Nothobranchius furzeri: one gene and its partner. The protein of the gene in region 1 interacts with the protein of each later gene in a pairwise test. Links are inferred from orthologs where the notes say so. Each region holds a gene or a part of one and is shown in the gene's direction. Other genes may lie near its edges.

Evidence for each region. The genes of interacting proteins can lie anywhere in the genome.
Region 2: the proteins of B-cadherin (region 1) and E3 ubiquitin-protein ligase Hakai interact in a two-hybrid assay, tested with the Homo sapiens proteins (2 studies listed by BioGRID, with this or other methods). The link is inferred for Nothobranchius furzeri from reciprocal best matches to the Homo sapiens genes CDH1 and CBLL1.

Annotation. Positions count from the first base shown.
Region 1 is NW_027223037.1:4,231,160-4,234,659, forward strand, and holds part of B-cadherin, read left to right. Parts: intron 1-2,367; coding exon 2,368-2,496; intron 2,497-2,710; coding exon 2,711-2,896; intron 2,897-3,148; coding exon 3,149-3,393; intron 3,394-3,500.
Region 2 is NC_091741.1:57,567,327-57,571,465, reverse strand, and holds the start of E3 ubiquitin-protein ligase Hakai, read left to right. Parts: upstream 1-1,339; 5' UTR 1,340-1,458; coding exon 1,459-1,477; intron 1,478-1,516; exon of another isoform or gene 1,517-1,687; intron 1,688-2,219; coding exon 2,220-2,408; intron 2,409-3,549; coding exon 3,550-3,656; intron 3,657-3,898; coding exon 3,899-3,982; intron 3,983-4,059; coding exon 4,060-4,133; intron 4,134-4,139. UniProt on the Homo sapiens protein: E3 ubiquitin-protein ligase that mediates ubiquitination of several tyrosine-phosphorylated Src substrates, including CDH1, CTTN and DOK1. Targets CDH1 for endocytosis and degradation.

The DNA of each region.
Region 1 (3,500 bases):
AACAGAAGAGAGTCAAGTTTTAAAAGTTTAAAGATTTATTACTAAACAAATTAGACTCACTTAAACACTAAATGTATGGTGTAACTAAGGTGAAATGAGACAGAGAATGGTGTAGTGTGGAATGTTCAGAACCAGCAAATCTGAAGAAACTATTAGTTCTGGTGGGAAATGAAGGTGATGTCTTCACGCTAAACTTTGTTTAGGAGATTCATAAACACATTCGACGCCATTTGTCGGTCCACATACCCTTAGTGGAAGTCCCCGTCTAGATCAGGAGGTGTAGAAGTTAGGGTTGTCACGGTATGAAAATTTAACTTCACGGTTATTGTGACCAAAATTATCACGGTTTTCGGTATTATCGCGGTATTTTTTAAACTGTGTTGCATATGTTCAGAAAGCATTGATTGTCCTGTTCTACACAAACTGAAATAGTTCTGAAAAGGTTCAACAGTGTTTATTAAACCTAAAATAACACAAAGCCTTAGCAAAAGTGCAACTTTTCACAAGTAAAGGAACAAATTTTTCTGGAACATGTTACAGTAGTCAGTGCAGGTTTAAATTTTACAAATCCAAACATTCGAAACATAAACAATATGTAAACAAATCAAAGAAACACCACTTGTTTTCTCATATACTTGTTTTCTTCATTATCAAAATGAAAATCTAAAACTCCAGTCCACACTTGACTTGAGCACTGTACAAGTCAACCTTAAAAAATATGTATTTAAAATAAATAGCCACTTTAAACAAATTACTAAAATAACTACTACACTATGTAATCAAATCCAAACGTTCAAGTATAAATGGCATTGAATAAGTAAACAAATCAATGACAAAGAACTAATTGTATATTTCTCTTCATCATCAACAAATAAGACGCTTCATCCAGCAACAGGGTGTCCGTGACACGGTTTAAATGCTGGCAGAGGGCGCTGCGGCTGCAGTATATAGTGACTCGTTGTATTCTCCCTCAACCAAAAGTCCTCACGTCATGCATTTAAGCTAAAATGCTAATGTTAACTTACCTTGCACTGGCTGTAGAGACGTGGGTGATGGTCACACACATGTGCCATTAGATTCGAAGTGTTGCTGCCTTTTGCAGACACTTTTCCTGCACGTTCTGCAAACGGGATAGCAGTCTTCCATTAACTGTCCCTCAGCAATTTTCAGAAATCCAAAATATGCCCATACTTCCGATTTAGTCTTCTTTGAGGGCTGATGGATGTCCTGGGCGCTGCCGTCTCCTCCTTCGGCCATTATTTCAGCTTCAAAGTTTTGGTGCCGTTGCAAACTAAAAAGTGCGTGTGCGCGCCGCGGGAAATTCAGCTGAAGCGACGGTGGCTGGTAAGGGTCATCGCGCCGAAACCGCGGCCACGGTAAACCCACCGAGATAATATAGTTTTTTAAAAACTGGACGGTTATTTTTATTGTCAACTTTTTTACCGGGGTTTACCGCTATACCGGTTACCGTGACAACCCTAGTAGAGGTCCAGCTTGACCTTTGTGGAGCCGAAGCCTGTGGAAACAGCCGCGGCAGCCGACCACCAGTCTTGAGATTCTTCCGGGTCACAACAGTTTATCGGCATCTAACAAGACCCAAAACGGGGTCGTGATGGTTCAGCTTTTATTCTGAAAGGAACCGCTGCAGCAGTTGTTTACAGATTGTTTACAGCAACAGATTTTATCCAGCTTGTCGTTGGTTCTTTCGGCTGAAGATGAAAGTTACAGATTGGCCACACCGACAACTTCTCTAGATCGCTTTGAACTGGCGTTAAAGATGACGTGGGCATAGTTTTATTGTGCTATTTAAAAATAAGTTCTGAATGTGAAACGTTACTTGAATAGCAAAGTTTTTAGATGTGTTTTTATTTCAAGATTTCTCGATTTGTGATGCTTTTGGAAACGGGAGATAAGCCCCTGGACTAATGCTCCTCCTGGCTTGGGAAACTTGCTCTCAAATGCTTCCTTTTAGTTATTTAAGTAGCACACACACATTAGGAATGCCTTTGGTGGAATTCAAACAAACCATTTTAATCTAGATTATTCCAAGATTACAGTGAAATTAATCTAGATTAAAAATCTATGCCCACCGCTAGTGAAAATATTTGTTTAAAAATGCTAAAACAAGTGTTTAATGCCCTCCTGCATCATTTTCGTCATTTCTTATGAAAATTTAGGGATAAACTTTAGGTGCTGATGTAGCCTACCAAAGGCCAACTATTTGGTTAATTGTCCACTGTAAGGTCAGAGGCATCCGAGTTTACAGGAGATCCAAGACTTTTATGAAGCAGTCGTTAGTCTGTGACTTTTCTTATAAACTGAAGCGATGGTGTATTACTGCAGATTAACGTCACTTTTATCCAACAGAAATACCCTCAGTACACACTGATGGTACGAGCTGCAGACACACAGGGAGAAGGGTTGTTTACTGAGGCCAAAGTAATACTCAAGGTAACGGACAGCAACGACCTTCCTCCAGTCTTCACACAGTCCTCAGTAAGTACAACACATGTAGACCTACTCGTGCATCAGGATCATTTCTGTAACTTACTAGTGTTGATTTTAACAGCTGACAGGAAGTTTAACTTTGTAAATGAACAGTTTTAGCGTAGCTTGAGCAGTCCAGTTTGTGCTGCTGCAGTCAAAACAATCAAACTACTACACGATGACCCTAAAGTGGAGCTAATCTAGAACCTTCTGAACTTTTCAGTATAAATCATCAGTTGAAGAGAATAAAGTGGATGCTGTGGTGGTTAGAATGTCGGTGACGGACGGAGACGATCCACACACTCAAGCCTGGAACGCCAAGTTCACGATTGTAGACGGAGATGCCGGAGGATTTTTTGCTGTGAAAACGGGAGCCAACAAACAGGAAGGAATTCTTTATACCGTTAAGGTAGGTGCAACAGAGTTCTCCGTAACAAAGTAAAGCTTCACTTAGAGCCAGAACTGCATCTGGTTTGTTGTGTAAAGGCGGAACTTGAAGGGGACACCCAGTGTTGGGTAACCCTGACTCCGACACCGCAGCACAGCCTCAGCAGTTTTTTGTTTTGGCCTCTGAGTCCTGCGGTGGAAACCTTCCATCAGCTGAATGAGCTCCTAGTGTCTTATCTGTTGTGTGGTGTCTCCTCCTCCTCCATTAAACCAGGGTCTGGACTATGAGATGACCAGCATATACACTCTGATGGTTTCAGTGGAGAACGAGGTTCCATTTGTTAATGATGTGCCCACCTCCACTGCAACAGTCACAGTCACGGTCCTCGACATCAACGAACCTCCGATATTCGATCCCACGGAGAAGCATGTGGCCAAACCTGAGAGCCTTCTTCCTGGCAGTGGGGTGACGGTGTACACGGCTTCAGACCCGGACACGGCGCGCAAACAGACGGTCATGTAAGAAATCTGATTAGAATTAACTTGTCTGTATTTAACCTGGTTTCAGCTCAAAACAGAGAGGTGTGTGTATGGTGAAGAGGATTTAAGGTTTGATGAAAACCTTT
Region 2 (4,139 bases), on another chromosome or scaffold:
TAATAATTTAGCAAATGTAAACTAGTTCCTCCCTTCTTCTTATTAGCATTAGAGCTAATTAGCTGACGACAGTTGACTAGTGTAGAGCCAAAAGCAAACTTGAACAGGTCACTAACTTAGGTATAACTTCGTCGTTGGAACAGTAGAGTTAAAATGTGCAAGTTGCTTAAAAAGACTGATTATTTTAAGACAAAAACTAACCTTTGATGGAAAGTCCGCCGCTGTTGCTTCCTTTTCTGTTGGATATTTGTGGGTTTTATAGTCAAGAGCCAGCTATTAGGTCGATGTAGCTAACGTAGCTTGCCGTGGTAGCTTAGCTAACATCCGTTAGCCTGTGAGTGATTTGTTTTGAAGAAGCACGGGCTAACGTAAGCTAGCTCAACTTCGCTAACGTTAGTCAGATGTGGCTGCAAAACTGTTAAATACGCAAGGTCCATACGTTAATTTCCTCTAAAAATAAAAAGCGATACGTGTCCTTTCTGATAGACAGGGCATGGTTTGTACTCACGCATTAAGTAATTCAAACGCGGGGCTAAGTTTAACATGCAAAGCAAGAAAAACTCAGTCATAAATTTCGAATCAAAATGGCGACATTGTACGATGAGAGCGCGCGGCACACGGGGACGAGCATCAGCTTCACTGCTTCGCAAAACATCAGAGCTCACTCACATGGGGTTCAAGCATCTTAATTGTAAATTATGTAATTTCTGACTCGTTTAATTGTCTCTTACTTTTAAAAATGGTACATTAACAGCGCTTGTGGGAATTGTGCAAATGTATGCGACAAAACGACGCTCAAATTAAAACAAGATCTAAATTATGAGACAAACTCATTATGCAGTAACGCAACAAACACATGAAGTCAAAATTATCGAGACGTTATGCGATATATGTCAGAAATAAGAGATTTTAAAAACACCAGTTTAACTTGAAATTAAAGGTGATATGAATGAAGATGCATATAATCTGATTAAATTAAAAATGCCAATACCAAAATATTAGACTACTAGCTTAAATGCTGTTCTGAAAAGTTTAAAATGCATTTACTTCATTTAGAAGTGCAACAATTTTGACACTTTTACAGAGTGTTAGTTTTTTTTTATTTATGCATGCGAAGTTAACTGCTCAGTTTATACTACAAAGATCAGAAAAGTGGTTTTATTTTAATGAACGAATTACTTAATATTGTATGTTTATAAATATCATCTTTACAGAATTCAAGGGACCCCCCCCCCCCCCCCGGCCACCCACAATGCATTGCGCTCACTCGTTGGATCCGGTTGGATCATGGACCAAAGTGGTGAGCTAAACGCTAAGTAGGCCCTCTGTTGTCAAAGTTTGTTTTTGTGGCTTATTTTTTCGTTTTGCCGCCAGAGTTGCTGCTCTAGTAGTTCTTTAAATTATTACGAACAACCTTCCAGGAATCCGGCTTTGCTGTTGGAGCTTGGTGCCTCTGAAATGCTCCGTTACGGTTTAGGTTAGCTGTGGATTTGTGCTAAAGGACGTCAGTTCACCATTTAACCCTTAAGTTCTAAGTCAGTTGGAATAGTTAGTTGTAACGTTAACTGGAGGTGTGTTCGGTTCCTGTGCCGAATGTGATTAGTTTGATTTTAGGTGTAAATCCAGCGATAGCGTTGTACAGCCTACCTTACCCTGTTTTAGCGCTTAGCTAATTCTTTGGCTAACGGTTTGTAACTTCGTTTTTGTTGCTCGTCCTCAGATTATTTATTGATGTCCGAGACCTTCTTTGTGTTTAGTATTCTCACAAGTAAAGATCAGGGTAAACTGAATTTCGGTTGGATAAAAATAGCCTGGTGTTCTTTCGGAATATTTCTTAAATATGTCAACGTTTCAATCTGTCGCCTTTTATGTGCCTTCGTTTTGAGAATTTTCTCCTTTCTTTACCATAAAAAACACTTTCTTGATAAACTTACGTCACAGATAATAAGCATTATTCTTCAAACCGTTAGATTTATACTTTGATTACATGAGGGAAAGTGTTCCGACACATCAGCAGGCAGAAATGCCAAACATTAACACGCCAAAAAGTAGTTTGAACAAGAACAGAAACGTTTGCTTATTTAACTCATCAGTCGGGTACATTTCAAATAAAGATTTACATAACTTTTGGAACGCAGATGTAATATAATTGTGCTTAATGGTGTGATGCTATCAGTTTTTTGTTTTTATTTTTTGGGTTGTGCATTCGGTGTGTACAGACGGTGATCTTCAAGGGAGCGATGGTTCGGGAAGTTTGGGTGGACTGGATGTTCGCAGACGAATCCCCATCAAGCTCATTTCCAAGCAGCCCTTGAGGAATAAGCCCCAGCAGCGGATGCAGAGGCCTGGCACCAGGCCCTGCAAAAGTGAACCTGGGGAAGATGGTACGCTACCGAGCACATTAAAAAGCAAGTCACCCCCAAATCAACCTTTTTGTGTGATAAACTATATAAATTGTGCTGCAGACATGTGTAGTCAATAGTTTGGCACTTTAGTGCATTTTAGTTAAAATTTTAATTTTCTGACTAAAACTGTCAGTGTTGTGCCGTTGTCAGGTAAAAACTCTGCACTGCATTTGAATTTAAATCTGCCATCGCTATTGGCTAAGAGGTATCCTACAACGTTAGCTGGTACCATATGATGTCACAATGTCGTTGTGAGCGTGTGTGTGTGTGTGTGTGTGTGTGTGTGTGTGTGTGTGTGTGTGTGTGTGTGTGTGTGTGTATTTGTTAGCAGCTCCGCCCTCTCAGTCTGCTAGGCAACAACATTTGTTGCATTTTTCAAATCAGAAGTGGGAGTGGAGTAATACTCTGGTAGGGGGTGACTTGCTCTTTAAACTTTTAAAAAGTAAACTGATCGGGGTTATAGTCACAACATTTTCTGTAGAATTTTAATTTGGAGGTTGAATCTTTTTATGGTTCATGTTGATTCTGTGCTGCAGGAACTGCACAATTCTGGCTGGACTGTGCTCCCAGCAGAATCCACTAATCAGTCATTTGCTCCAATGCAGAGCCTTAAAAATAACTATTTAGACAGATGCTTTTAAAATAAACTGATTTATACACCTCAGTTAGTAATCATAAACATTGTTTTGTTGAACCTGACCAAAACCCTTCTTCTGAGGGTGAGACAGATTTTGCTGTATATTAACTTATAGAATTAACCATTATTCATTAGAATATACTTTATTGTCTCAATTGGGAAATTTGTCATTAGGTCAAAAAAGTTGCACTTCGGTTAGTATAACTGAAAAAAGGAAAAACTACACAGAACCATACTAATCTCCACATTACATACTACTCTTAACAGATGACCTTTGATTATGCATTGTACATAATACACATAGCACATTCCTTAAACATCGAGTACTGCACACTTACACAATCCCACAATACTGCAATTTGAAAATTTCAATCTGAAACATTTTGCCCCAGCTCTATCAGTTGACTAATTGAGTTCTAAACAACAAAATCTGCTTTTATTAATCAGGGTTTTATTGACTTTCTCTTTTCAGTTTTACAATAATACTTATTTTCTCATATTTTGTAGATAAATTCAACTTTAAGCAAGAGGAAAGGTTTGATTGTGGCACCAAAGCTGGCGATGTGTTTGCAAGCCAGCGGAGATTTCCACAACCCCTATTTTGGGACTATAAGGTACGTCAGTGTGGGTTTGCTGACATCATCTTATTATAGTGACTTTCTGTTTTATATATATATATATATATATATATATATATATATATATATATATATATATATATATATAATAAAGCTGTCCATTGACCTTGGGTTAGTGTACACTGTTGTTTTGCTTTGACTATAAAAGCTTTGTGACTGGATTTGAGTATGTCTGAGTGACAGATACCCATAATTCCACCCATTTGCTTTCCCTACAGTTACATTTAATTGGTGAACGGGATGAAGTACCAATTCATTTCTGTGACAAATGTGGCCTCCCTATTCAGCTGTATGGACGGATGGTATGTACTTTGTTCTTGCTTGCTCCCTTTGGTTGGTTTTGAATCATTTTCTGGACTGAGACTCTCCCTCTCCTCAGATCCCATGCAAACATGTTTTCTGTTACGACTGCGCTTTGCTGCATGAGAAGAAAGGAGAAAAGATGTGTCCAGGGTGAGA